Sus scrofa: one gene and its partners. Each later gene encodes a partner of the first gene's protein in a complex. Links are inferred from orthologs where the notes say so. Each region holds a gene or a part of one and is shown on either strand. Other genes may lie near its edges. The genes, in order: SNRPG, LSM4, BUD13, LSM2, USP39, CRIPT and RBM48.

Region 1 (4,471 bases):
GTAAGATATATGATAATTTTGTCTCTACTTATATATCTAAGAAATGAACTGAATCTTGTAGAACCATCCCTACTTAAAATCACCAATGCTTTCCCTTTTTTTAATTTTTGTTATAGTTTATTTACAATGTTCTGTCAGTTTCTGCTGCCCAGTTGTACAACCAATGCTTTTCCGTTTTGGCCTAAGTCTTCTATAATCCCTATTGTTCTTGATTCATAAATGTGGGCTGCTCCTCTTTTGGGAAACTTAACTAGGATCAAATCAGACCATTTTTTACACCTTTCGACTTGAAAATCAATATTTTAGAAATCATCTGTGTGCTGCTCTTCATACTTTATATAGAGGGGCAAGGTACAGTTAAGTGGGGTTTTGGAAGCATTGCAGGACTGTCCGTGGGGAATATACTTATGACCTCTAGATTAAAATTTTTTTTTTTTTTTTTTTTTTTTTTGTCTTTTTGCTATTTCTTTGGGCCGCTCCCGCGGCATATGGAGGTTCCCAGGCTAGGGGTCGAATCGGAGCTGTTGCCACCGGCCTACGCCAGAGCCACAGCAACGCGGGATCCGAGCCATGTCTGCAACCTACACCACAGCTCACGGCAACGCCGGATCGTTAACCCACTGAGCAGGGGCAGGGACCGAACCCGCAACCTCACGGTTCCTAGTCGGATTCGTTAACCACTGCGCCACGACGGGAACTCCTCTAGATTAAAATTTTTGGAAACTGAGGCCCCCTCACTCTATTCCTTTGGTGCAGAGGTCGTTAACTGAGCTGTTACTAGAACCTTAGTTGTAGCATGACATCCTGTGGGAATACTAAAATACCACAGGTTCAACAGTGAAGCAAATACCTCAAAGCAAGTCACAAGATTTTTTTTTTCTTAGTGTGATTACCTATCATAGATCACCATAACGAATACAGTAATGAAAAAATTTGAAATACTGTAAGAATTATCAAAATGACACAGACACAAAGTGAACAAATGCTCTTGGGAAAATGGCGCTGGGAGATTTGCTGGACTCTGGGCTGCCTCAAACCTTCAATTTGCTAAATTAAAAAAAAAAAAAAAACGAGTTCCCGATGTGGCTCAGGGAGTTAAGAACCGGACTAGTATCCATGAGGATACTAGTTTGATTCCTGGCCTCGCTCAGTAGGTTAAGAATCCAGCGTTGCTTTGTCTATGGCAAAAGCCAGCAGCTGCAGCGCAGATTTGACCCACAGCCTGGGAACTTCCATATGCGGAGGGTTCGGTCCTAAAAAGACCAAAAAAAAAAAAACCGCAGTGTTTGCAGAGGACAACAAAGGGAAGAACAACACATGGAAGTATGCACACACATGCCAAAGAAATTTTTAGGAGCCTACCCCTCCAGAGCTTATTTTCATCTGGTAGCGTCAAGACAACTTTGCAACCCACAAAGACAATGAGTTAACCAGCGTCCTTCAAATGCTAGAGGCAGGAACAGCAACCCAATTACAAAGAGGAATATAAAGACTGGAGGCCCCACCCCTCCGCTCTAGCCAATCCCTGGCGACACAACGGAAGCTTGGGACTGATCTGCGAGCTCAGGATTTTCCTAAGTATCGCGACGTGAAACGTGAAAGCGGCCAACAATCAATTGGCTAACGGGATCAGTGACGTCAGACGCAAAGCACCGGGCCTACCGCTGGAGCGTGAGGGAGAACACGAATTCCGTTTGGAGGTTTCTTTGAGTTCGCGGAGTAGGCATCATGAGCAAAGCTCACCCGCCGGAGTTGAAGAAGTAAGTATGCATGAGGGCCGCGCATAAATGGCGGCTTCTTTGTAGGCCTTGAGTTCCTTGGATCCCCAGCCATTTCCGGAGAGTGTGTCTGCCGTGCTTATTGCCACTGGCTGCCGCCGCGATCCGGGCCACCGTCCCACGTTTCCGGGCCTGCATCCCGCGCAAATGTTGTATTTCGGCCTGGTGGGCATGCTTTTCAAAGACGTAAAGGCCCCTCCGTCTGCAGGTTTGCCTCCCAGGCCGGAGTTCCTGGCCGGGTCTCTGGCACTCGATCCTTCGTTACTTAAAGATCTTGAATACCACAGTTAGCTGAACGCCTTGAGTAGCATCACGTTCGAGATAAGGTGGTTGGACAGTAATTCTGTAAGGAACTAAGGAGGTGGATGGAATGGAATTGTTTTGATGGTATATGAGAAATTCAAAAGCTGCCTTCATCTTAGTGTGTTGGTGGTTCCTTTGAGCTTTAACTTAGAAATCCCGTTCTTGGGAGTTCCCGTCGTGGCGCAGTGGTTAACGAATCCGATTAGAAACCATGAGGTGGCGGGTTCGGTCCCTGCCCTTGCTCAGTGGGTTAAGGATCCGGCGTTGCCGTGAGCTGTGGTGTAGGTTGCAGACTCGGCTCGGATCCCGCGTTTCTGTGGCTCTGGTGTAGGCCAGTGGCTACAGCTCCGATTCAGCCCCTAGCCTGGGAACCTCCATATGCCGCGGGAGCGGCCCAAAGAAATAGCAAAAAGACAAAAAAAAAAAAAGAAATCCCGTTCTTTTTTCTTAATTTCTTGCACTTAGGTTGAACTTGAATGTGTGATATTTTGCTCTGTTAACTGGAATGCGTGAGAACATTCATTTTTCTCTAATTAGAGAAGGCTCTTTTGTTGGGGGGGTGTTCTTGGTAAGATTTCCTTTTTGATTCTTAAGATATTAATGAGAGTTTTTAATTACCTTTCTTTTCTTATATGTAGATTTCAATAATTGTGAGATCCTGCCAGGTCTACCTCCAAAATGACTTTTAACTTTTTCTTCCTTACCATCTTTTTTTGGAGTTCCCTCGTGGCTCAGCCGGTTAAGGATCCAACATGGCACTGCTGTGGTTCAAGTTCAGTCCCTAGCCCAGGAACTTCCGCATGCCACCCACGAGGCCCGAAATCTTTTTTTTTTTTTGCATTTTTATATCTTCCGTCTGCTTTTAATATAATTCTGTGGTTCTTAACTGTGGTGTAGAGAGTCTGGTTCTACCAGCATTTAGTAGGTAGAGGCCAGGGTTCCTGCTAAATATTCTACAGTGCACTGGACATCACTCAACAACAGAATTATCTGGTCCCAGATGTCAGTATGCCAAGGTTGAGATACCCTGGCCCAATCATATTCTTCCTACCCCTCTTAAAAATCATTGCCAAAGTAGTCTTTTTTTTCCCCCAGTTTTTTTGAGATAAAATTGACCTACAGCACTACGTAAGTTCAAGATGTACAGCGTAATGGATTGATTTACACATGCTTCAGTAATCTTAGCCATGCCTGATACTGCTGCAGTAACTTATTGCCATCTGCATAATAAAGTCCAGACTTCTTGAACCAGCAGTAACGCTCCTCCATTTGAAATCCAAGCACCAAATATTACACACGCTAATATTTGAGTACCATGTTCTTGGGCCAAACTGAACCATTTGATTTTGCTCAAACTTTTTCACTGCTGAGTGACTTTGGAAATTTTACTTAACCTTTCTGGGCCTTGGTTCCCCATCTGTTAATTGGTGGTAATAACAATGCATAACTTAAAAAGCTTTCATAAGGATTAAATAAAATAAGTTCATATGTGTTATATTTGTGTTTTTTTATAACATCCTAGTAAAATTGATTGTTTTACATGTCATACTATATATTTTTATTTGTAAAAACCTGTCTTCTTACACCTTCTTCAGGCCTCATGTCTTATTTATCTTTGAATTCTCCATGATATACATTAAAATTGAATGAAGTTTCATATTTTCTAGCCTACAGCAAAGAGGTAAAAACTGGTTTGACTTGTTGGCTTCATATTCTTTTTGTCTTTAGGGCTGCACGCACGGCATATGGAGGTTCACAGGTGGGGGGTCGAATGGGAGCTGTAGCTGTAGCCCCTGGCCTAAACCACAGCCACACCAGATCGGAGCTGTGTCTGTGAGCTACACCACAACTCATGGCAATGCCAGATCCTTAACCACTGAGTGAGGTCAGGGTCCAACCTGCATCCTCATGGATACTCGTTAGATTCACTTCTGCTGAGCCATGACGGGAACGCCCTTGGCTTCATATTCTCATACTACCCTGCTGATATGGAATTTTGTTGCTTAATTCAAATTATTTAAAATTTCAATATGCATTTATTTTGCTAAAGTATACTTGGGTGTTGGAGAATATCCTGAACATTTAAGATTGTTGCTTAATATTAAATAAAACACTATGTATTGTCTCAAATATAAAATAAAATATCCATTGGATTGGATATGGTTTGATTACCTTCTGATTTCTTCACAACTTTGTTTGGTTTTTAAAATAACCAAAATATAACAAAATCTTTGTTTTTCTGTTTTGGTCGTAAGATTCTGTCATTGAATATTGGGTCGGGGAGTTCCTATAGTGGCTCAGTGGGTTTAGACCCTGACTAGCATCCATGAGGATGTGGGTTCGATCCCTGGCCTCACTCAGTGGGTTAAGGATCTAGCATTGCCACAAGC
Region 2 (4,285 bases), on another chromosome or scaffold:
CTAGCCTGGGAAACTCCATATGCCGCGGGAGCGGCCCAAGAAATAGCAAAAAGACAAAAAAAAAAAAAAAAAAAAAAGAGGAAGAGTTGAGACACAGAGACACACAAAGAAAAGCACCATGTGATGACAGAGGAATCTGTGCCAAGAACTACAAGGATTGCTGGCAGAGAAGCATGGGATGAATTGCCCCTCAGATCCTTCAGAAAGAACCAACTCTGCTAAAACTTTGATTTCAGTCTTTCGGATTAAGTTTTACTGTTTAAAACCACCCAGTTTGGAGTTCCTGTTGTTGCTCAGCAGTAAGGAACCGGACTAGGTATCCATGAGGACTCAGGTTCAATCCCTGGCCTCAATCAGTGGGTTAAGGAAGCTGCGGTGTAGGCCACAAATGCTGCTCAGATCCTGCATTGCCATGGCTATGGTGTAGGCAACTGTAGCTCCATCCAATTCGACCCCTAGCTTGGGAACGTTCATATGCCATGGGTGAGGACCTAAAAAGCAAAAAATATTCAAATAAAAATAAAAAAATAAAACCACCCAGTTTGATCATTTGTTATGGCAGCCCAAGGAAACTAATACATTTGTCTATTTTGTTTACAGTCTGCCTCCCCAGTGGGCTCCTAAACCTCAGGAGGGCCAGGAGTTTTGTTTGGTTTATTCTCTTCTGTGTTTCCAGGAGGAGGCCCGTAGTAGATGCTCAATAAATATTTATTGCATGTCCGTGTATCAAGTGCTCAGTACGTGCCGGGCACTCTTCTTTTACAAGGCATAAATCACTTGGCACTCATTGCAACCTTCTAAAGCAGACACTATTATTAAGCCCATTTCAAAGGGAAGCAAACTGAGGTTCACACCGGTACGTCTAGCCTATCAAAAGAAGTGCCCTGGACAACGGTCAACTACAATAAAGAGAATCAGAAGAGTAGGAGCTCGAAGGGACACATGGCAATAACCATAGAGCTGCCATTCCTCCATTTGGAAATTGGAGGCACTACCCCGTTTTGCCCACAGCGTGGAGCCCGGAAAAATCACTGAAGATTGCACCTGCGCAGGCGCCCTTACCCACAAGGCCTCCTGCGCCGGCGCACATTGCTCCGCCCCCTTTTGCAGCACTCATAGCGGCACTTTACGACTCTCTCTCTCATTTCTCCGGTAGGAACGCGGCCCGCCCCGCCCCTCGTGTTTAATAGGCCCCGCCTTACTCCGCGTGGATTGGTTGGCCTTCCCATGAGCCTCGTGCTGACTGGCTCGCGTTGCTGCCACTCCATTTCAGCCTAGTGGCGCGCAGAGCTGCAGCTACCGGCGGGAACGTGAGCGGCGGCGGCGGCGGAAGTAGCCCACGAGCCTAGTCCCCGCCGACACCATGGTGAGGGCGGTGCGACGGGGGAGCCGGCCGCCAAGGGCCCTCGGGGCGGTTGTTGGTTCAGGGGCGTTGTGGAGCCAGCCTGTAATCTGGGCCTTGAGTCCTGCCCCTTCGCCCAAGGTGGGGAGGACAGGCCGGAGAGTGGAAGAGCTTCTCCCAGGACACCAAGCACGTCGGTCTCGGGGGAGCTTGGGATTGGATAGAAATGAAATCACAGTATGGCAGTCTGGCAGCAGTCTTCCCATTTTGCAGATGGGGAAACTGAGGCCAGAGAGGAAGGGGACCTGCTGAAGGGCCCGGTGAATGCAGCAGAGTGAGTTTTCGGACGGGGAAATGGCTCCCAGTGCATCCGACCCGATCTGACCTCCTAGACAGTAAAGCTAGAGCACCAGGCAGTAGGGGGCCGGCCTTCTTTCTCAAATTCAGCCAATCTGGGGAATTTCGGGGGTTGTACTGCCCTTGGAATGCTAGCTGCGCAACCTCTTATGCCTCTCCTTTTCAGACTAAAAAGCAGACCCAAAGCAAGGTTAACTTCTTCCGGGGTCACACAGCATATGGTTCCAGGGGAAGGGGGGGCGTTTTCAGCCATGGATGGGCTAACCGTATCCCAGTTTAGAAAACAAAAAAATCGAGGCCCTGGCAGGAAGTCTCCCCAGGGCCATGCCATCTCACAAGTTGTGGAAATTGGAGATCTAAACCAGCGTGCCTGTGTCCCCAGTGAGTGACAGACAGGGAAATGGAGGCCCACACAGAGGAATTGAGCTGGGAGAGAACCTGGCCCATCAGCCCTCGAGTCCTCTAAGATGGTCGCTGCACATTTTTCGGAGCTGACCATGAGGGTTCAGTAATTCTTCTGGTCATTGTAGGGATGGAGAGAAGGGAGCAGCTTCGTTCTCTCTGTTCGTCTCTCTGGAGGGTAGAGTTGGTCTGTGGAAGAATCCATTTGTTAAGCTCCATGGAGATAGGATCTCTGTTTTATCCTCATATATTGCCAGAGCCTAGAACAGTGTCTGTGCAAAGTCTGTGTTCAGGAGTGGCTAAGGCATTACACACTGCCTGTTCCTTGTGGTCGGGGTGGGGCGGAAGCCAAGCCAAGGTCTGGGTGAGGGAGTGGGTGATCAGCAGCTTCCTGAGTTGGGAACCTCAGGACACCATTAAATCCAGTTGTGGAAGTTTCCATTGTGGCACAGCAGAAACGAATCCGAGTAATAACCATGAGGTTGGGGGTTTGATCCCAGGTCTTGCTTAGTGGATTAAGGATCCAGTGTTGCTGTGAGCTGTGGTGTAAGCTGCACACGTGGATCAGATCCCATGTGGCTGTGGCGCAGGCTGGTGGCTGTACCTCCAATTCGACCCCTAGCCTGGGAACCTCCATATGCCATGGGTGCGGCCCTAAAAAGCAAATAAATAAATGTATTTAGGTGTGGATGGACCTAGACCTGAGGGCCAGACCCCAGATGTTCTGAGAAAGGCTAGAGAAAAGAATTCTCTTCCCTGAAGCTTTTTATGACTCCAAATTCCACACAGCCCTTGCTCCCCCCTGAACTGGGTGATCTGCCCTCTCCTGTATCCCTGGCACCTTCATGCTTTCCCCCACCCCAGCATACCCCTCGCTTTCAAGTTCACCAGGTTCCTCCTCTTCCTTTGGCCTTTGTCTCCAACAGCGTTTGGGAACAAGGAAGTAGATATGACCACTGCTGCGGTTGTTGAAGTCTTGGAGGGCTGTCCCAATGCCACCTTTCCCTACCTGAGCTTCTCCTTTTCCTTGTCTTGTGAGGTGTGGCAAGTATTCCCCACCCCACCCCACCCCTGTCACCACCCCCTGCCTGGAGTGCCTCCCTGGGTGGTATGTGCTATATTTGTCAGCAAATATTTACTGAGTCCCTTGCATGTGCCTGGCCCAGTGTTCAGCACTGGACAAAGTCCACACCCTCTGAATTTTCCAGTCTAGCAAGAGGCTTGGTGTTTCCAGTCTAGCCAGGGAGACGTAATAAATAAACAAGTTAATTAGAGACTGGCTATACCCTATAATAGAAGCAGAGGGTGGCCCAGGTGGAAACCTCATTCCCTTGATGGGGTTATAATGAGGGGCTGGCTGAAGCAGAAGTCACCAGCCTGGGGGAGGGCACCCCAGGTAGAGGGAACCAAGGAACAAAGTTTGACCAATAGCACCAGGCGTGGTGTGAAGAAGTGAGCGGGCCAGTTTGCTAGAGCCGTGTCAGGCCTGGCTCTGTGGCTAGCCAAGGGAGCGGGTGTGCAGGGGAGGGTGTGAGCAGGTGCTGGTTCCATCTGTGTCGCTGCCGTCCTCTGAGGTCACACTGCTGGCAACAGCTGCAAAGGCTGTGGGTCCTCCAGGGGTGTGCTACTCGTAGCTGGGACAGGATGGTAGCCTGAGAGAGACAGCCTGAAGGCAAGGTATGCCATAAAAGGACATCTGTGGGTCTTCTGCTAACAGGCATTAATCTGCTTTCCCCGGCTTTACCCAGACCTTGCTCTGTATCCTTGGGTGTCCCTCCTAGCTGCTGGTACCTCATCTAGAGGGGCCTTGGCTGTGCTACTCCTACTCCCTCCACCTCTCCACACAGTCCATTTTCATTCTCACCTTCCAGGACAGGGGCTGGCCTGGCCCTGTCCCCGTCTCCGGTGATCTGGGAGGAGGACTCAAGTGTGTCATTGCTCTGGTCCTGATTCCCGTTGTGGATACAGCAAACAGGCTTGTCCAGGAAAACCCTGAGCTTCTCTATAATAGAATACCACCTGGCTCTGTGGCTCCCTCATGCATATCTGAGCCTCCTGTTCTTTCTCCACAGCTTGCTGTGCTCAGGCAGCATCAGACAGATGTGTTCCTTTTTCTTTTTTCCTTTTTAGGCCCACACCTGCAGCATATGGAAGTTCCCAGGCTAGGGGTGGAATTGGAGCTGC
Region 3 (4,437 bases), on another chromosome or scaffold:
AGGAAACTAACAAATGGAACATTGTCAGATTAATAATGGAGGAATGTCAAGCAGGGAAGGGGTCTGGGTGGTGTCAGGGAAGGCGGGGGCATTGAACTGCAGGGAAAGGGTAAAACTTAGACTGCCACTGGTCATGAATTCCTTTGGTCCTGCTTAACTGCCCTGTGAGGAAGTGTTAAGACTAGAGCTTGGGTCTTGTCAGGCTAAGGGTAGGTATTGAGTGGAATGGGTAGAGGTAGAACTGATGACAGAAGAGGGCAGGAGGGCATGGGGTTGAGAGAACTATAGGAGTAATATTCACTGGAGTGGCAGTGGGAGACTCCCCATGTCTGCTGACACCAGCTTGAGGTACATTAAAGCAGACTAGAAGCCAAGGCAAGGTTGTGGGTGGGGGACCTATGGTCCCCTGCAGCTATTGATTCCCCTGTCAGTCCAGTGCCCCCTTCTCACAAGCCCTCAAGAGACCCAGCCTGCTTTTCTTCCTGGGCCGGTGCTGTGACCAGTCAGTATGGCCCAGAGGTTAAAATTTCTTGCTTCAGGGCGGTGATCTCCAAACCTGTTTTGTTACATATAAGTATTTTCTGAACATGTATCCCAAGATACATGTATTTAGTGATAAAGTATGACAATGCCTTCTTGAGTAATGCCTTGAAACAGTTACAGTGATTTAACATATATAATGAGATACATAGAATGTAAGATATAATTTTTTTCCAGAAATTTTGTATTACCTCTTGTACCCCACCTTTTTGGCCTCTGCTCCCAAGGGTCATATATTCTGGCTGTGTGAAGTTGGGCAACTTAACTTCTCCAAGTTTCAGTTTTCTCATCTGTAAGGATAATAAAACTATCTGAGAAACATGAGGGTTAAATGAGATAATTCAAGTAAAGCTCTTAATGCTTACAAGAAAAAGTCTTCTCCCCAAACTTGAGTATTAGAATTCAGTCTTTCTAGCTTCTTTCACGATACTGAAAATAGATCCAAGTCCTTTGCACTGGAGATTTTCCACACAAGAGATAGCTAGGGGCAACCAGTAATACCGAATGTGGATAAGTTACACAGGTTAGAAACCTCCATATTTTTCAGAACAATTATACTGGGTTTGGAATTCCTGACTTCCTCTCTTGAGTGGTTCTTGAAGGCCTATTAAAGCAGATTCCTCTCCATCTAAACATGCTAATAAAAATAACTAACATACTGTGTACCAGATGCTGTTCAAAGCACTTTACACGGTAATATTCTCTCAAGTCATTGCAACCATTGATTTAGGTGTGATTTTTATCCCCATTTTGTTAAATAATTTGCCCAAGGTCGTACAGCTAGGAAGTTATGAAACCAGAACTCAAACTTAGATGCGCTGCAACTCTGAAGTAGATCTCTGGAGTCGCAGTTGTAGCCTTGTTGCTGCAATAAGGCTTGAATGAGCAGATAGATGGACAACAGGAAAAACACGGTTGCGCATCGGGGGGCGGGGGGATGTAGACTGGGCACCGGAGATATGCTCATTCCTCATTAGCCCTTAAACGCTCTCTTTCATCTATCAGCTTGGACTGCTCCAAATACTCGGCCACTTCCGGGCCCGGTTGCGCCTCCTAGGGTCCTCGCCGTTCGTTTCGCGTTCAAGAATTTTGTCCCTAGCGCCCGTCCGTCTCCCCGCCCTCGCCGCTGCCATGGCGGCAGCTCCGCCGCTCTCCAAGGCCGAGTATCTGAAGCGTTACTTGTCCGGGGCAGATGCCGGTGTCGACGGGGGCCCTGAATCCGGCCGCAAGCGTCGCAAAAAGCGGCCGAAGACTGGCGGGGCTGGCGGCAAGGGGTGAGTTGGGTCTGGCGGCTTGGGTCCGCGGGGCTGCCCCCCCCCTCCCGCCTTCCCAGCTCCGCCCTCGGCCCGGCTCTTCCTCGACGGGTCGCGGGCTGCCCGGCTTTGACTGCTCGCCCGACCCTGCCTCAGCCCAGAGTCGGCCGGGGCCGCTTCTCGCGCGCTTCGGCAGTAACTTGGGTGTATTCAGGCCAGGCTGTAACTTTCATTACTCTCTTCCCGCTTTTATAGCAGTCCGTCTTCTCTCGCAGAGAATGAATATTATACCCTGAAAGTATTGGTGGAGCGAATTCAAAGGCTCTGGGCTTGGGTATTTAGGGCCCAGAACCTGTCTGGGGCGGGGGGGGGGGGGGCGCTTCTCCAATCCTAAGGACTCCCGTCCTGAGTTGGAAACCTGGTGCTCATTTCCTGTTATTCTTACTACTACCACTACTACTACCACCACCAAGTAACATTTGTACAGTTCTTGTCATGTGCCAGGCACCGTTCTGAGTCCTTTAGATATACATGAATTTATTTAAGCTTCATAACGCTACCATGAAGTAGATGTTGTTGTTAACCCCATTTGTCAAACAAGGAAAATTACGTGGCCCAGCGTGCTGGGTTGAATAGTGCCTCTTCTCTCCAATTTATGACCACCCAGGACCTCAGAGTATGACATTAGAAATAGGGTCTGGTGTTCCTGTCAGTGGCTCAGCGGTAACGAACTGGCTAAGATCCATGAAATTGTGGGTTCGATCCCTGGCCCCGCTCAGTGGGTTAAGGATCCAGCGTTGCCATGAGCGGTGGTGTAGGTCGCAGACGCTGCTCGGATCCTGCCTGGCTGTGGCATTGGCGGGCTACAGCTCCCATTCGACCCCTAGCCTGGGAACCTCCATATGCTGTAGGTGCGGCCCTAAAAAGACAAAAAGAAGAAAAAAAAAAAAGAAGAAATAGGGTCTTTGTAGATGTAATTAGTTAAGATGAGGTCATAGTGAATTAGGATGGGCGCTAAGTCCAATATGACTGATGTCCTTTTAAGAAGAGGAAAATTTGGATACAAAAACAGGCTTTGAGGGAAAATTACTGTGTGAAGATGGAGGCTGAGACTGGACTGGATTCATATGCCACTAGGAGCTACCAGATACTGGATGAGTCAAGGAAAGATCTTCCCCTAGAGCCTTCCTGGCAGGCGTTGCCTTGCAGATACCTTGATTTCAGACTTGAAGCCTCCGGAGCTGTGAGAGAATACATTTCTGTTGTTTTAAGCCACCCAGTTTTGTGGTACTTTATTAGGCAGCTCTAGGAAACTACCCAGTAAAGTCAGATAGCTACAAGGGACTAATCCATTTCCTTTCCTGATTTGGTTGTCCCGTTATTCTTCCTTTATGTCTTCCAGCCCCCTCTGACTTGTGTGGATTCCTTGGAGGAAGTGCCATGTAGTGAAATTAGCTTGAGCTTTGCAGCGACACTGATCAATATTTAAGTCCTAGCTGTGCCACTTTCTGGGCTAAGCCTCAATTTCTTCATATTTAAAATGAGAGTAGTAGTGAATGGTATCATTTATATTAAATGATTGTGATTAATGATCTTGGCTTTTCAAATAACTGTTTACATCATGGCAGTTATTTTTATTATTTGGACTCATCCATAGCTTATCTATGGAACAAAATTTATTGAATATTCTCTATGCTAAGGTGTTGAGGGGTGCAGGATATCCCTGTAAATAAGAGAGGCATAGTCCCTATTCTGATGGAACTTATAGTTCAATGGGAATACAGCCGTTAAGCAACTAATTACACAACTTGTTGATTTATTTCCTTTTTGATAAATGAAGTAGAAATATTCCAAGAATGTCTAGCAGGGGTTCTTAGTTGGGGATGGTAAGGGAAATAGTCAAGGAAGGTATGCTCAAGGAAGTCATATATATGCTAGGATTTTAAGAATGAATAGGAGTTTCCCAGTAAAGAATGAGAAGAGTAGGTCAGGCAGAGAGAAGGAATTGAGTTTGTGAAACTGATATGGGAAAGAGTTTGGCTCATTCTAGACAGCAGAAGATGACCAGTGAGTAGGGAACCGAGAAGGCAGTGGTATAAGATGAAGTTGGCCATACTGGCAAAGAATGGACCATAAGATCTTGTAGGATTTTGAGCTTTAGCCTAAAACCAATAGATAGATGTTTGTTGGCTGTTAACCAAGAATGATTCTTCTCTTTTGATCTTTTTATTTTCCACATTTAGTATGCGGATTGTGGATGATGACGTGAGCTGGTCATCTATCTCCACCACTAAACTGGAAAAGGAGGAAGAGGAAGATGATGGAGATTTGCCTGTGGTATGTATCTTTTTATTTTTTTGACCGAGCAAGGGGCATGCATGAGAAAGTCCTAGGCCAAGGATCGAACCCATATCACAGCAGTGAATTGCTGAGTCCTTAACCACTAGGCTACCAGGGAACTCCTCTATCTTTTGAGGCTGTGAGGACTTTGAAGTGTAAGCCTCTCAATCTCAACTCCCAGTGCAGGGTATATTTATTTGTAAGGAGAAAAGTTGAGGGCAGAGACGAGGTGACACTTTCCTGGAGCTATTGTAAAATAGTCTTCTTTGACGATGGCTATACACAGTCTTTGTTTATGGAGGGC
Region 4 (3,099 bases), on another chromosome or scaffold:
TCCTGACGCCAACGTGGGTAGGGGTCCGTTTGGCCGAGGTCCTGGTGTCCAGCTTCTCCTTGAGCCTCATTTCCTTCTACGTGGGAGGAGGGAGTCGAATTGGATGGCTTCTAACGGCCCTTCGTCCTGAGAACCCTCATCTGGGGCGGGAACTCTTACTTGCTAAATGAGTTTAGAGTTAATTCCCAGTCACAACTCTCCACAATGAAAGTTGTCACTTGTATTTATATGCAATAGATATTGGGGAAGCACTAGATCCAGCATCAAACGCATTTAGGTGTCTCATTAGCTTCCACCTTAATACAAGGACAGCAAACATTCGCAGGTACAGTATTAGGAAAAGGCTATGGTAGGTAGGCTGCATAGGTAGGGGGCATGCAGTCCAACTGAGGTACGGTTTGTATCAGGAAGAGTGGTAGCCAATACGGACAGGACGGGTTGGGGCCTTGGCTTGGGTAATGAGAGTAACAGGGCTGGGTGAATTCAGCATCCCTTTCCCACTCTCTAGCCCCCTTCCCAAAACACAGAACCAGAACTCGAATTTGCATCATAAATTTTATTCCCGATGCGGGACAGATTCCTTCCATCCCCAGAATGAATCACATGCTACCCTAGAAAGACCTGGGAGATTCTCCCACCTCCAGGGAAGAAGTGAGAAAGGCAGGTGCTGGGGATAGGGAAGGCTTCGCAGTTCCCGGGCTTCCTTTTCCTCCCCTTCTCAATACAGGAGAGTAGCTCTCCATTATTATTACTCTCATCCACTCATCCCTTAAAAAAAACACAAAAACTTTGCTGTGAAAAAAACAACACCTCAAGTATGGGAGGGAGGCATCCTGAGCTGGGACATGAGGCTCAGAATCACCGATGGAAGGAGGGAAAGGGAGGAGCAGCCATCACTGCTTCTGTTGCAGGGCCTCCTTCCTTGCTGCGTCCTGTAGCAACTGTGTGTCAACCTCATCTGCTGGCAACTGCACATAGCGAACCACTGAGCCTCGGATGAAGCAGTTCTTCACTGATAACTGGACAAAGATACACAAATGTAAAAAAAAAACACGCTTCAAAAATGTCCTCTATCCACCCAGGGACCTCCTGCTTTGAGAGGTGTTTCCTCATCTCTACCATCTACAACTCACCATGTGAGGGTATTTCTCAGGGTCTGTGACACTGATGTCAGTTAGTTTGATGTTGAGATACTAAGAAAAGAAGATGAACACCATCATTAGAACCAGAGACAAGATGCAAGTTCCCAGCCCTTAAGCTCTCCCCTCTCCTTCCCCAAGACCCTATCAGGGCCCTTGTTACAGTCTTACCTGATCCACAGAATGGAGGGTTCCACAGATGCTGTCAGAGGTAGAGAAAAGAAAAACCAAAATAGTTTATACCTAAGTCAACACTGAGGTGATTTTAGAGCAAGGATAAGAACATGGTTGCGGGAAGTAAAGGACTTGAAGAAACCAAAAAAGGTAGAACCAGAGTTCCCCTTGTGGCACAGCAGAAACAATCCAACTAGAATCTGTGAGGATGTGGGTTCAAAACCTGACCTTGCTCAGTGGGTCAGGGATGTGGCGTTGCCATGAGCTGTGGTGTGGGTAGCAGATGAAGCTCTGATTCGACCTGGGAACTTCCATATGCTGCACTTGGGTGGCCCTAAAAAAGCAGAGGAAAAAAAAAAAAAAAAAAAAAAAAAAAGAACCAACAAGGGGCATGCCTAAGCTATGGGGTAGGAAAAAAACTGCTTCCAGAGCAGTGTGTTTAGACCTCACATCTCTCCCTAAATTCCCTCTTAGTAGCTACCATCAAAAAAAGTTTTGTGGGAGTTCCCATCATGGCGCAGCAGAAACTAATCCAACTAGGAACCATGAGGTCTCAGGTTTGATCCCAGGCCTTGATCAATGGGTTCAGGATCCAGCGTTGCCGTGAGCTGTGGTGTAGGCCGCAGATGCAGCTCAGATCTGGCATTGCTGTGGCTTTGGCACAGGTCGGTGGCTATAGCTCCGGTTAGACCCCTAGCCTGGGAAGCTCCATATGCCAAGGGTTTGGCCCTAAAAAAAGGACGAAAGACAAAAAAAAAAAAAAAGTTATGTGCTAGACCTTTATTCCGCACGTTTGTAATCTTTGCAGCCACTTCACAAGGTAGCTATTAACCATCCAGGGGCTCAGAAATGTGTATCTTGACAAGTTTAGAACAAATAGAGACTTTGGTTCAGGCCTGTCCCCCAGAACCATTAGCTATTTTCAAATACTGGCTTTGGAACCAGGGCTCTGTATGTAAAGCAGGTAAGGTAGCTAGCTGGCGATGTTGTTTTTTTTTTGGCTTTTTAGGGCCACACCCTCGGCATATGGATGTTCCCAGGCTAGGGGGTCCAATCAGAGCTGTAGGCACCAGCCTACACCAGAGCCACAGCAACCTGGGATCCAAGCTGCATCTGTGACCTACACCACAACTCATGGCAATGCCAGATCCTTAACCCACTCATTGAGGCCAGGGATCCAACCTGAATCCTCATGGATGCAAGTCGGGTTCGTTAACCACTGAGCCGAGATGGGAACTCCTAACTGGTGATGTTTTTGATGACACAGGCATGAGCGATGTTCTCTCCCTTCCTCGATCCTTGAACCCCTGAAATGTTCACGAGGAAGGCTATCTAAACACCACCGCTGCACGCCATGTTATCTCTCTTCCAATTCTTTAATTCTGCCAGTGGTTTCAACACTTAAGTCTCAAAAATCTCAAATCCCGAAATTTGTACTTCTCCATGAACCACGAACCCCCACTGTTTGATGTCTAACATTTGTTATTCTCTTTCTACAAACTAAGGTCTTATACCTTTACAGCTCGATCCAGTCCAGCCTCCAACTCGCTGCCCTCATCCTAACCATCCCGCATGTCATCGCCAGATTCTAAGTTCCTTAGAATCCTGGTTCTCAGGAGTTCCCTTCATGGCTCAGCAGTTAATGAACCCGACTAAGATCCATGAGGATGCAGGTTCAATCCCTGGCCTTCCTCAGTGGGTTAAGGATCCGGCTTGCCATGAACTGTGGTATAGGTTGCAGATGAGGCTAGGATCCTGAGTTGCTGTGGCTGTGGTGTAGGCCAGC
Region 5 (3,779 bases), about 13 Mb from region 1:
ATTAGTTTTCCCTATCACTGTGTTTGTTTCTATTGGTAGTTGGTCCTGAGTATGGCTTTCCCATTTTCAAAGCTGTTGATGATTTTCCTTTCAGCAAAGAATGGCCGCTTGGATTCTGAGGACCAGAGGAGCCGCCACTGCCCATACCTGGATACCATTAACAGGTCTGTAGCACAGGGATGCACTAGCACAGGGATGCAGAGGGCAGCAAAAGAACAGTGGAATCTGCAGAAAGTTCTTTGGGCTGTATGTTGAGCAATATGTTCAAAAACTTTATCTCTTTTAGGAGGAGTTCCCGTCGTGGCGCAGTGGTTAACGAATCCGACTAGGAACCATGAGGTTGCGGGTTCAGTCCCTGCCCTTGCTCAGTGGGTTAAGGATCCGGCGTTGCCGTGAGCTGTGGTGTAGGTTGCAGACGCGGCTCGGATCCCGAGTTGCTGTGGCTCTGGTGTAGGCCGGTGGCTACAGCTCTGATTGGACCCCTAGCCTGGGAACCTCCATATGCCGCAGGAGCGGCCCAAGAAATAGCAAAAAGACAAAAAAAAAACTTTATCTCTTTTAAAGCTTTCTGGGAGTTCCATTTTCACTCAGCAGGTTAAGAATCCAGCGTTGTCAGTGCTGTGGCTCTGGTTACAGGGGTGGCATGGGTTCAGTCCCTGGCCCAGGAACTTCCACATCCCATGAGTGTGGCCAAAAAAAAAGGCTCTCTGCCCAGAAAATTCTACTTCTTGCCATGTTTTTTAATCTTTGCCCTTCAGTTTATTTATGTATTTATTAAAAAATTTTTTTTCCATGGAGTTCCCGTCATGGTGCAGTGGTTAACAAATCCAACTAGGAACCATGAGGTTGCAGGTTCGATCCCTGGCCTTGCTCAGTGGGTTAAGGATCCGGCATTGCCGTGAGCTGTGGTGTAGGTCGCAGATGTGGCTCAGATCCTGTGTTGCTGTGGCTCTAGCGTAGGCCGGTGGCTACAGCTCCAATTCGACCCCTAGCCTGGGAACCTCCATATGCCGCGGGAAGCAGCCCTAGAAAAGACAAAAAAAAAAAAAAAAAAAAAATTTTTTTTTTCATTATTGGCTGCCTCTCAGCCAGGGATCAGATCTAAGTTGCCACCTAAGCCACAGCTGTGGTAACACTGGATCCATAACCCACTGTGCCTGGCCAGGGAGCGAACCTGTGTCTCATTGCTTTTAGGAAGCTGCTGATCCCATTGCATCATAGTGGGAACTCTTGCCCTTCAGTTGAAAGTGTCAGAGGGCATGTTTTTTCAGGGTGGGCACATGCACAGAGAACTTGTAGTTCATTTTGAATTTGTATGAGGAAGTAAAGGGATACACTGTGTCAATGACAATAGCAAATTTAAATATTTATTGAACACCCGCTCTGTGCTAGGTATTACGCTAGGTGCTTGGGATTCAGCAGAGAAAAAAAAAATGTCCTAAAGCAGAGGTGGTTGCCTCATCCTGATATTTTTTGATCCCAGATGCATCTTAGGATGATTTTTCATACATGCTTTCGGGTAACTCTGTCTAATAGACTTTTTTTTTGCACCAATGGAGTGGCTCTTTAGGGCTGTTCATTGTGGTAGGCACAAGGCACCTGTGGCTACTAACCACTTGAAATGTTGGCTTGAGTAATTGAATTTAAAAATTCTATAAAATTTTTTATTGGCTGCACCCTTCACATGCAGCACGTGGACGTTCCCAGGCCAGGAATTGAACCTTCACCAGAGCAGCCACCCGAGCCCCTGCAGTGACAGCCCTAGATCCTTAACCTGCTGTGCCACAGGGGAACTCCCGTGAATTTTAAATTTTATTTAATTTTAATTAATTTACATTTAAACTCCAGTAGCCATGTGTGCCTCGTGTCACCTTTAATGGACAGTGCAGCTGTCCTAGGACCATTACTGATTAATTAGAGTTAATACTTGAGAAGGAATCCCTTTGCCACCTGTGGATTCAGTAGAGGTAAATTGTTTTTTTTACTAATAATTTTTATTTTTTCCATTATAGCTGGTTTACAGTGTTCTGTCAATTTTCTACTGTACAGCAAGGTGATCCAGTCACACATACATATATACATTCTTTTTTCTAATAATTTTTTTTTTGTCACTTGTCTAGTGTTCATATACCATGACTTGAGGAGATAGATCTGTTTTTGGGTATTTCCCTAAAATTCTTCAGACTTCTCACTTATTTTTATGGCCTTCTTAATAAATTTTTCTTTTATGAATGGGTTTATTTGCTCTTTTTATGTCATTTTATGCCCAGTCTTTTCATTTGAAATGCTGTTGGCACTGTGTTACTTTAGTCCTACTTGTAGCTTTCCTTCCAGAGAAGGTAATAGAAGATTCTCATCTGGTTGTGAATACTAAAAAGAAAGAGGGTCATTGATAAAGATATCTCTTTTTTTAAATTAAAAACTTAAAAAAAAATTAATGGCTATATGGGAAGTTCCTGGGCCAGAGATTGAATCTAAACTGCAGTTGGGACAAAGCTTGATCCTTTTAGTCCACTGCACCCGGCCAGGGATTAAACCTGTACCTCTGCAGCAGCTACTCGAGCTGCTGCAGTTGGATTCTTTTTTTCTTTTCTTTTTTTTTTTTTAGGGCTGCACTTGTGGTATATGGATGTTCCCAGGTGAGGGGTTGAATCAGAGCTGCAGCTGCTGGCTTATGCCACAGCAGTGCCAGATCTGAGCCACGTTTGCAAACTATGCCATAACTTGTAGCAATGCCAGATCTTTAGCTCAATGAGAAAGGCCAGGAATCATCATGGATACTAGTTGGGTTCTTTTTTTTTTTTTTTTTTTTTTGTCTCTTGTCTTTTTCGGGATGCACCTATGGCATATGGAGGTTCTCAGGCTAGGGGTCTAATTGGAGCTGTAGCCGTCAACCTACACCACAGCCACAGCAATGCCAGATCCGAGCTGCATCTGCGGCCTACACCACAGTTCACGGCAATGCTGGATCCTTAACCCACTGAGCAAGGCCAGGGATCGAACCTGCAACCTCATGGTTCCTAGTCGGATTCGTTTTAACCACTGAGCCAAGATGGGAATTCCTACTTGGGTTCTTAACCCGCTGAACCATAATGGGAACTCTTGCAGTCAGATTCTTAACTCACTGTGCCACAGTGGAAACTCTGATGGAGATACCTTTACACTACTTTGGGGCTTGGTGGGTGGAGGTACTGTATTAAATGTCTAGGTAATGAAGAGTTCATGTTTCCCATGATTTGTATGTGGTTGTTGAGCCATTCTCTGAAGGATGCTACGTGGGAACACGGAGCCAATGCTGCTTCACTCGGTGCTTGCCTAGGCATCCATCCCTATTAATTGTTTCTGTTTTATTTTGGTTCTCTTAGGAGTGTGCTGGACTTTGACTTTGAAAAACTGTGTTCCATCTCTCTGTCACATATCAATGCCTATGCCTGTCTGGTGTGTGGCAAGTACTTTCAAGGTAAATAGATGTTTTGCATTACAGACTTGCTGAATCTTCAGTGCTAACCACAGGTCTATTGCAGAGAGTCGTTTTTTGAAAGAAAGTAAGCTGCTATTAGGAATCAGGTCTAATAACCCCCATCTTTGTTCCCAGGAAATTGGAATACTCTTAGAAAATCCACAGGAGGTTCTCTGATTGGTCAGAACCTGAATACATATGAAGGAGAGAAAGAACTAGCCATGTGAGAGACTATGTAGGTAATCCGAGAAACTGGGATTTTTTTTGTCTTTTTTGGGGCCACACCTGCAGCATATGGAAGTTCCCAGGCCAGGGGTCG
Region 6 (4,545 bases), about 22 Mb from region 1:
CTTTTTTTTTGCCAAAATCAGAGGTGAAAACAAACTGCCTGGGTTAATGATTGGATCCTTTGGAAATACAAGATACGTGTTCTAGAAACCCCATAGTATACTTTGGCTGAATTGTTGGCATTCTTTTTTAATCACTGTGTTCCATTGTCTATCAACACAGTTGTTCACATTTTCTAGCAAATACCAAGAAACAGCAGGTGCACACTGAAATACACAAATGGTGGTCAATGTCATCAAGAGCGTTCAAAAAACATCATGCTAAACTAAGGGATCTCAGCGCCCCAAAATACCAAAATGGCAATGTCAGACGCTAGATTCCAATGAAAAGAAGAGCTTCATGAAAAGGGAAAAAAAATTTTACTTTCTCTCTCTCCCATCTCTATATATCTATTTTATGTATGCATGTATTTACAAATTATCTAACAGAGAGCTTATATGTAGTATTGACTAATGTTAAGTAAGGAGTCCACGTGTCACACTGTGGTGACTAGTCCAGAATAAAACCCCATATATATACACACACATATATGTGTACGTGTGCGTATATATAAAAGGGTAAAAGGGCAAATCCAGGCCTTATCCTAACACTCTCATTTATTCACACTATATTTTTCAAAAGAAAATACATTACTGATAAGGAAAAAGACTAGCAGAGATTAGTAAACATTGCAAGCTACCAAGGTCCCAAGTGCTAAAGCCATTTCAAACCCTAGCTAACCTTTTTGATGATATAGATATATACTAGGAGGTATGAATGGCAAGAAAGGAGAAAGGAAATCTTTCTCACCGGTCCTATCTTCTTCTGGGCCACCCTCAAAATCCCAATTGACAGGAGCAGATTTGTACATAAGACAGTGAGCAATACACAAACTTAATGCTGCGTGAATGAGTGAATGAACGAAGAGTAGGTGCAGAGTTGCCCTTCCTGAGAAACCAGCCTTATATTAGGCCTTGGAGAGCTCAGGAGGACTTCCGCCAGGTGCCCCCTGGGGCAGCTATTGCCCAGGTGCCCGTGGTCTGACCTGGCCCAGATCCTCAAGCCTTGCAGCGGAAGAGAGGGCCATTCTGAAAGGCTCCTGGAGGCGCCTTCGCGGGAATCGTGGGACCGTAATCTCCAGCCCCATCCCAAACTGGGTCGCTGCGGACTCTGCCCAAGCCCCAGCCGACTGTGGGCAGAAAGGGACAAGCTGAGAAGCATAATCAAAGAGCACAGGCGTAAAGACCAAGAGAAACGGCGGGACAAACACAGAAAGTCGGAACTGAAAAAGAGCCAGTTCATCGGGGCAGCCCCTGGGTCACGCCGGAAGGGCGGCGCTCGAGGGGCCCGCGGGCAAGGGCCTATTGGTAGCAGAGATTTCCGATCAGTTGGGCAATTGGCGGGGGTGGCTTGCAGCCGCTGGAGGCTCGTGCGCCGGGAGCGTCCGGCTGGGCTTACCTAACTCTCCCGCTCGCGGAAGAGAACGGGAGGGCTACTACCTCCCACCATCAGGTGCAACTCGCCGCCCTGAGTCTCGCGCAGGCGCAGGCCAGCAGGGCGGAGACCGAAGGCCTCACAACCAATCGCAGAAGTGGAGAGGTGGGCCAAGAAGGAAGCCCCGCCTTCCCGCTCTCCTTTATTCCTCCCGCGGCTTTCCAGGTGTAGAATAGGCGGGGCGGAGGATCCGGAAGTGGACTTTCATAACCCGGAAGGGGAGTGTTTTCTCAGCTGTGGTGTTGATGGTTTCCAGCTCCCGATCCTACTGCGACTGAGGGAATCGTCGCGAAAGGATGGTGTGCGAAAAATGTGAGTTAAGGAAACTCTTCTGCGGGAGAAGAAGGCTGGGACAACCTAACTGGAGTTCCCCGGGACTTTATTCCTTTGTTTTTACTTTGGCCACAAGTCTCTGATTCTAGCCTCTGTTCTGTCCTGCCCTTTGACCATTCCTGCCTCTCCATCGACCGTATAGTCCTCCGTTTGTTGCATTCAGGGTGGTCTCCTTGTCTGTTTTGCACCTCCTTGTCTGTTTCCATTGTTTTCGTTCAACCCCTGAGCTTCTTGACTGGCTCCCTCATTTCAGAGCTTCAGGTTGAAATGGATCTTAAAAGTCGCTTCCACAGCAACTGGAGTTGCTAGGTTTAGCAAATAAAAGTACTGGACGCCCAGTTAAATTTGAATTTCAGGTAAACCAAGAATAATTTTTAGTGTGCGTCCTATGCAATATTTGAGATTTGGCTCTGTTTGCTGCTCCTTACTGCTGTAAAGCAAGGCACTTACTTTTAGGACATTGTCTACTGAAAAAGTATTCATTGTTTATTTGAAATTTAAATCTAACTTTTGGCGCAGGGTTCCATACCTGGCCCAGGAACTTCCACATGCTGTGAGTGCTTAAATGGTCCTTGAACGAATACCCAGAGTATTGAGGAATGGTGGCCGGTGTGTAGGAGAATCTCACCACCTTGGAAGCAGTCCGTGTTGATTTTACTGGCTTTTAGAAAGGTCTTTCCTTCTTCTAGTTGCCGTCCAGTAATTCTAATACCACCCTCTGAGATTTGATATTTTTGCTCCCACAAACTGGTTGTGTATTTAAAAAGAGCAGTCTTATTCCCGTTTTCCTGAGTCTAAACATGTCCTCTTAATTTGATTATCGTCAGTTTGATTATCATCTAATTAACTTGATCCATTTCGTTTACCCCCCCCCCACAGTATATAAAGCCTTATAGCTTTGAACACAGAATTTGAATCACAGTTTTCAGATTAGGTGAAAGAATGACCATGACAGTTACTTTAATACATTCTCAAGGTGCAGAGAATAATTTGGGATTTCTGTATCTGGAGACTGGCATTCAGGATGACCCTCTACAATGAGGCCACATCTTACCTTTTTAACTTTATTTTCACTAACCCTTACCATCTTTACAGTTCAGCCAAGCCAAACTATTTTGCCTGACTGCATGTACCTCGAGTTCTCCACGCCTTTTATCAGGATGTGTCCTTTATCCAGTTTACCTTCATCCTCCTTTCTCCTTTTTCTTCATGGTCTCATTACCACAAACCCTCTCTACTGCCTTCTTCACAAAGCTTTCCTGGATTTCCCTAGTCAAGGTTATTTCTTCCTCCATGGAATGTATCTTAGTACTTCAGCTCTTAACATACTGTTTACTTTCAGTTGAATAATGCTAAACTTTTGTTGTTGTTCTCGGAGCCCTTTGAGAATGTGACAAAAGCTGTGGACTTAACAGAGTCTATTAAAAAAAAAATGGATATACAGAGGTTTGTGTTCAGTTTCATCTTGTTCATGTATTTCCTAAGGTCCACATGTGAAAACTCAGGTTAAGAACTGTTGTTAGAGATAAATCAGTATGATGTAAACTCCTTGAAATCTAGAGCCTTATCTAATTCATTTTATTTTTCTCTGTACTTTGTACAATGGTTTATATATCACTGATATTTAGTAAATGAACAGATTTATCAGATTTGTTTAAAGCATTAATGTACAGAAACAAGCCTATTATAGGCCATACTATTATCCACAGATTTGACTGAGAGTCAGTTATCCATGGCCCACAATTAGTATCATAAGTCTCAGTTCACTGGCCCCAAGCCTCAGCAATAACAGATTTGTATGTAATATGAATATTAATACCATTGTAAACTTAAGGCACAATGTAGTGTATTTATTAGATAGTAATGCTAACCCCCCCCCACTTTTGTTATCTTGTTATAACAGGTGAAAAGAAACTTGGTACTGTTATCACTCCAGATACATGGAAAGATGGTGCAAGGAATACCACAGGTATTTTTCCTTTTAGAACATAGAAATTAAATCAGATACTTCCTGTGAATAATGTTTTAGCTTTTACATTATTTGTAAAATGTTGTTAAGCATACAGCATATTTCATCTATTAAATATTAAAGAATACTGGACATTCCCCCCCACAACAATTTAATAACTTCATCTCCTTAGTTTTCTTAGTGACATGTCAGGGTTCCTAATTTGGTAGTCAGGAAATAGAGATAATTGAATGATTTTTAAGCAATGAGTATATCATAGTAACTGATTTGGTTCAGCCTAACTAGAGTTATTATTATTATTTTTTGTTTGTTTGTTTTTTGTCTTTTTGCCTTTTCTTGGGCTGCTCCAAGGCATGTGGAGGTTCCCAGTCTAGGGTCTAATCGCAGCTGTCGCTGTTGGCCTGTGCCAGAGCCACAGCAATATGGGATTCAAGCCGCATCTGCAAACCTACACCACAGCTCACAGCAACACCGGATCCTTGACCCACTGAGCGAGGCCAGGGATCGAACCCACAACCTCATGGTTCCTAGTCGGATTCGTTAACCACTGCGCCATGATGGGAACTCCTAGAGTTATTATTTAAATCCCCCTTTCCTCACCTGGTTTTTATATTCTTGAACAAATCATTTAAATGTTTTCACCTTCACAATCATTAATTACAGTGAAGATGTTTCTAAAGGGAAGAAAAAGAAACATTATCACTGTATTTAAGGTCAGTGGCACCAAAGTAGTGGCATCTAGATTTTGCATTAGATAGATTAAATATAGACC
Region 7 (4,541 bases), on another chromosome or scaffold:
TACATTACTATAAACTCATTAGGTGGGGATTTGAAGGCACGTGGAAAATCATCAAAGCTGAAAGCACAGGGCAGGGAGCAGCTACCTGGGACCAGGTGATAATAACTAACTCATCTCCAGCCAGAAGGAAGCTTATCAGGGCCAAGAGACTGCCTACTTTATAGTAAAAGAAATAATGGCAGGATCTGTTGAAATTAATGTGCTATGAAAGATAGGGGAAAATACTCTAGAAAAGGAGTTACAGAGAAGTAGCTAAAATGGAAAAGGGAGATATTTGAAATTATTGCAAACTGTTGAAATTACTGCAAACCAGTGGGTACTATGCATTCAGGATTTTCGAAGATTTCAAACAGCCTATCCTTTTAGCCCCTTAAGCAAGCACGCTCAAACTCGTAAACCAGGTGTCTCCACTTTACAATTAGGAAAATACAGATGTTGCATCTCTGTAACCATGCAAGTGTTAGAGCTATGAACCGCCACAACCACAAGGTGCAGAGCGCAAGTGAAAACAGAGGTTCAAGGAATTCTAACTACCTATGACCAAGTATGCATACTCCCACAGCACATTCCTGGAGCACCCCGGAGGTGTTTGGAGACACAGGAAGAAGGTTCATATTAATCTATCCCGCTCGTGGGACACAGGGCTCCACCTCTGTTAACCAATAGAGACTTCACAAACCAAGTCCGCCCCTCTTTCTGAAGGCCGGGACCACAGCCATGCAAGCACCTGGAAATCGCTGGCAGGAAAAACGTTTTCTAATAATGAAACAAAACAGAACAGAATCCCAAAAGACAAACAAACCCGACTTCTCAAGAGCTTTTCCAACCTGGAGTGAGGAATAGTTGAACGAAGAGGGAGAATATCGGGGCGTTTCAAAGCCCAGTTCCGGCGAGTAAAAGACCTGGAATACAGCAGGTCAACTCAAAGAAGCCGTGCTGCACTAGACGTGATGTGGCTGTCAAGAGCGCCCAGGCCAGCCCTGCCCGCAAGGGGTCCTCAGTGTGGCCTCTGAACCGGTCGGCGGGGCTGGGAAAGCAGCCCTAATCCCGCCGCCGGGAGAGGCCTGAGCGGCCGCTGCGTCCCTAAAAGGCCTGGGTCTCGGCCGACCGCAGACTGGCCAGCAGCTGTCCCAAGTCGGTGGTGAGAGCCCGGCACCAAGCGGGCGCCTTACCTGCAGCAGGTGTAGCTGGGCCACAAGGCGCCGCGGCAAGTGGAGGAAGCAGTCGCGAGCGTTGGTGAAGGCCACCGTCACGGCCGCCCCGCCTCCGCCAGCACCCGCCAGGCGATCGCCGCCCCACATTGTCTGCAGGCACCGACCCCCAGCCGCCCAACCTATCTTTCCCGGGCCAACCCCGCAGGTCGCGGGCGTCGGACCCGGAGACGATCGATCGGCCCCGCCCCCTAAGGCCCCGCGGCGCATCCGGAGCGGGAGGGGCCAGCACGCCTGCGCCTGTTCTCAGGGCCTTTCCGCCGCGCCGCTGGGGGGCGACACGTTCTTCACCAAATCCTCGCTCACAGGAAACGATGGCCGACGGTGTCGATTCTTCAGCCAATCTCGGAACGCCTTAACTCACCCCTCTCTCTTATTGGGTAAACGGTGGGGCAACGGGGCGGATGTTGTCGTTCGCGAGGGATAACACCGGCAAGATGGCGTTGAGCGGCGGGCAGCTAGGAGGCTTATTCGATCACCACGTCCAAAGGGCTGTATGCGACTCGCGGGCCAAGTATCGAGAGGGGCGCCGCCCTCGCGCTGTCAGGGTAAAGTGACTTTGGTTTCAATCGCTATCCCCGGTAGCTTTCTGTGAGTTCCAGCTTCACATGCCCAGCTTACGTAAATAACATCTTGAGAGGCTGCGGTCACATCGATTAACTGAAGAAGAATATGAAAAACGCTGGTACTCAAGTACCAAAGATGCTTGAGTGCTCTTTAGTCTACTGCTAGAACCTCAGCTCCGTGAGAAGAGGGCTGTGTTTCAGTCACTGTATCTTCCGTGTTTACAGTGGTCCTTGTTACATGGTAAACGCTCAGCGAATACTTGTTAACTCGTCCCTGTAACTTCTACCGAGCTAATTTGTGGAAAACACATTGATGGAAGATAATGTTACGTGCTTTAGCTAAAGGCCTTTGCAAGAAGGGTAAACTATTCATTATGTAGAGAGAGGGGCAAGTTTTTAGATTTCCTGTTTTTATGCAAACCAGTCGAAAGGTGTTTTTTTCAACTTTAAAAAAATATAGGATTAGATTTGTCCCAGGCTTCTTTGTGAAATACATTTAATGTGTCTGATTTCTTATAGGTTTACACGATCAATTTGGAATCTCGGTACTTATTAATACAAGGAGTTCCTGCAGTCGGAGCCATGAAGGAATTAGTTGAGCGATTTGCTTTGTATGGTGCAATTGAACAGTATAATGCTCTAGATGAATACCCAGCAGAAGACTTTACAGAAGTTTATCTTATTAAATTTCTCAATTTACAAAGTGCAAGGTAATATGCAAGTTAAACAGTGTCTCATTTTCTCCATTCCCGTTGCCTACATTTGGCCTCCCTCATTCATTTCTGAATTACCCAGTAACTAACATGACCCTGTATTCTTCTAGTCTTTTTAAATGTTAGCCCTACCAAACTCTTTCTATCACGTCATTCCCATGCTTAACAATTTTTTTGTGTGTGTAGTATGGTAGATTAAAAATTGGTTTGGGAGTAAATTTTCAAGTTTCACTGTTTACTAACATCATGACCATGGACAGGTTACTTGACCCCATTAAGACTGTTTTCTTATTCTTTAGACACCAGTATGGTAAAAGGACCTACTTACGGAGGTTGTGTGAGGATGACATGGATCCATGTATAGGGCTTAGCACAGTGCCTTCTATTCAGAAGGCAGTAAACATTAGGTATTGGATCTCTTATTTTATGGACCTGTGTAATTGAATCTCCTTCTATATAACATAAAATTTTCTCCAACAATTAAGTACGAAATGCCCTATCTCTTTTTTCCCTCATTTTAAAAAATGAAAGTGTTGATTTACAACCTTTCAGGTGTACAGCAAAGTGTTTCAGTTATACACACACACACACATATACCTATTTGTGTGTGTATACACACACACATTCCTTTTCAAATTATTTTCCTTTATAAGTTATTGCAGGATATTGAATAGAGTTCCCTGTGCTAACCAGTAGGTCCTTGTTGTTTATCTGTTTTACATATAGTAGTGTGTAGCTGTTAATCCCAAATCCCCAATTTAACCCTCTTCTTCCTTTCTACTTGGGGCCTTGGCTCTTTTTATGTTGACTCCTATTCTTATTGATAGGCTCCAAGACCCATCTTCTCTTGGCTGTTAGAATTCATATTTTCTTTTCTGTGCTACAGATAGCCCTTGTAGTCTTTCTGCCATAAATCACTTGGGTTAATGTCATCGTGTGTTGTTCTCAGGTTGCCGTTATATATAATCTCACTACCCTAACCAATTTGTCAGCTCCTCATGGTTAGGGATATTTTCTCATTGTGTATTTTAAGGAGTTTTGCATCTCTCACTCCACCTGGTACAGTAGGTCATGCAGTGTGACATCTGGATTTGAATCTTAGCTCCAAAAGCTAATGTGAGAATGGCCAAGTTATAAATCTCTCTAGGCTTCAGTTTCATCAGAGGGTTGTTGTGTTAATTCAAGAGAAGCACTTAAGCACTTTGGTCACTGCCTGGGATGTGGTAAAATCTCAGTAAGTATTTATCATTTTCCCTGGGCACTGAAGTGCTTATTTATTGTAGTAATTCCTGGCCAGTCACAGATGTTTAAAAATTATTTGTTGAATGAATACCATTCTCATTGATTGTTATATATTCAATATTTCCTCCATTATTGAATGTTACAATTTCAATATTTTATTAATTTCTTAAATATGAATCCCATTATAGGAACACATTGTGCCAAAAAGGCTAAAATAAGTATGAGCTAACGCTCAAGAGCCATTTAACATAGAGAAAAATCTCTATTTCATAACCACAGATTGTGTACCTCAGGCCAACCAGCTGGATCCAGTATTGGTTAAAGGGAGTCTGGATAGGTATGGATGACTTGAAACCTATTAAGACTAGGGAGAGGGAAAGAAAGGCTCTAAGAGTAGGCACTGGATCAGTAGAGTCATGCTGTCCACAAGCAGAAATTCTTATTCCCTAAGTATAAGATGTATATACACTTGGCAAAACCTGGACTTTGCTTTTTATTTATTTTTTTGCTTTTTAGGGCCACACTGCGGCACATAGAAGTTCCTAGGCTAGGGGTTGAATCGGAGCTACAGTTGCTGGCACAGCAAGGCGGGATCTGCGATATACACCACAGCTGTGTCTGCGATATACACCACAGCTCACAGTGCCAGATCTCCAACCCATTGAGCAAGGCCAGGGATCAAATCTAATCTAAGATACTAATCTGATACTAGTCGGATTCATTTCCGCTGTCCCACAATGGGAGTTCCTGGACTTTGCTTTTTAGGTCAGTGCATTGTGTACTAGTCAAGCTTTCTTCCTAAGTAAATC

What was found.
Region 2: SNRPG (region 1) and LSM4 share a complex: the UniProt entries of both Homo sapiens proteins name them as parts of the U4/U6-U5 tri-snRNP complex. The link is inferred for Sus scrofa from reciprocal best matches to the Homo sapiens genes SNRPG and LSM4.
Region 3: SNRPG (region 1) and BUD13 share a complex: the UniProt entries of both Homo sapiens proteins name them as parts of the minor spliceosome. The link is inferred for Sus scrofa from reciprocal best matches to the Homo sapiens genes SNRPG and BUD13.
Region 4: SNRPG (region 1) and LSM2 share a complex: the UniProt entries of both Homo sapiens proteins name them as parts of the U4/U6-U5 tri-snRNP complex. The link is inferred for Sus scrofa from reciprocal best matches to the Homo sapiens genes SNRPG and LSM2.
Region 5: SNRPG (region 1) and USP39 share a complex: the UniProt entries of both Homo sapiens proteins name them as parts of the U4/U6-U5 tri-snRNP complex. The link is inferred for Sus scrofa from reciprocal best matches to the Homo sapiens genes SNRPG and USP39.
Region 6: SNRPG (region 1) and CRIPT share a complex: the UniProt entries of both Homo sapiens proteins name them as parts of the minor spliceosome. The link is inferred for Sus scrofa from reciprocal best matches to the Homo sapiens genes SNRPG and CRIPT.
Region 7: SNRPG (region 1) and RBM48 share a complex: the UniProt entries of both Homo sapiens proteins name them as parts of the minor spliceosome. The link is inferred for Sus scrofa from reciprocal best matches to the Homo sapiens genes SNRPG and RBM48.

What each region holds. Positions count from the first base shown.
Region 1 is NC_010445.4:72,197,116-72,201,586, forward strand, and holds the start of SNRPG (small nuclear ribonucleoprotein G), read left to right. Parts: upstream 1-1,606; 5' UTR 1,607-1,728; coding exon 1,729-1,760; intron 1,761-4,471. UniProt on the Homo sapiens protein: Plays a role in pre-mRNA splicing as a core component of the spliceosomal U1, U2, U4 and U5 small nuclear ribonucleoproteins (snRNPs), the building blocks of the spliceosome.
Region 2 is NC_010444.4:59,498,313-59,502,597, forward strand, and holds the start of LSM4 (U6 snRNA-associated Sm-like protein LSm4), read left to right. Parts: upstream 1-1,247; 5' UTR 1,248-1,363; coding exon 1,364-1,366; intron 1,367-1,615; exon of another isoform or gene 1,616-1,676; intron 1,677-3,338; exon of another isoform or gene 3,339-3,778; intron 3,779-4,285. UniProt on the Homo sapiens protein: Plays a role in pre-mRNA splicing as component of the U4/U6-U5 tri-snRNP complex that is involved in spliceosome assembly, and as component of the precatalytic spliceosome (spliceosome B complex).
Region 3 is NC_010451.4:44,162,469-44,166,905, reverse strand, and holds the start of BUD13 (BUD13 homolog), read left to right. Parts: upstream 1-1,504; 5' UTR 1,505-1,671; coding exon 1,672-1,814; intron 1,815-4,036; coding exon 4,037-4,130; intron 4,131-4,437. UniProt on the Homo sapiens protein: Involved in pre-mRNA splicing as component of the activated spliceosome. As a component of the minor spliceosome, involved in the splicing of U12-type introns in pre-mRNAs.
Region 4 is NC_010449.5:23,899,847-23,902,945, forward strand, and holds the end of LSM2 (U6 snRNA-associated Sm-like protein LSm2), read right to left. Parts: intron 1,342-3,099; coding exon 1,311-1,341; intron 1,194-1,310; coding exon 1,134-1,193; intron 1,020-1,133; coding exon 894-1,019; 3' UTR 539-893; downstream 1-538. UniProt on the Homo sapiens protein: Plays a role in pre-mRNA splicing as component of the U4/U6-U5 tri-snRNP complex that is involved in spliceosome assembly, and as component of the precatalytic spliceosome (spliceosome B complex).
Region 5 is NC_010445.4:59,146,352-59,150,130, reverse strand, and holds part of USP39 (U4/U6.U5 tri-snRNP-associated protein 2), read left to right. Parts: intron 1-94; coding exon 95-164; intron 165-3,365; coding exon 3,366-3,460; intron 3,461-3,779.
Region 6 is NC_010445.4:93,923,005-93,927,549, reverse strand, and holds the start of CRIPT (cysteine-rich PDZ-binding protein), read left to right. Parts: upstream 1-1,633; 5' UTR 1,634-1,767; coding exon 1,768-1,783; intron 1,784-3,707; coding exon 3,708-3,773; intron 3,774-4,545. UniProt on the Homo sapiens protein: As a component of the minor spliceosome, involved in the splicing of U12-type introns in pre-mRNAs. Involved in the cytoskeletal anchoring of DLG4 in excitatory synapses.
Region 7 is NC_010451.4:72,443,196-72,447,736, forward strand, and holds the start of RBM48 (RNA-binding protein 48), read left to right. Parts: upstream 1-1,615; coding exon 1,616-1,759; intron 1,760-2,296; coding exon 2,297-2,487; intron 2,488-4,541. Other genes in the region: PEX1 (peroxisome biogenesis factor 1), read right to left, coding at 1,173-1,421. UniProt on the Homo sapiens protein: As a component of the minor spliceosome, involved in the splicing of U12-type introns in pre-mRNAs.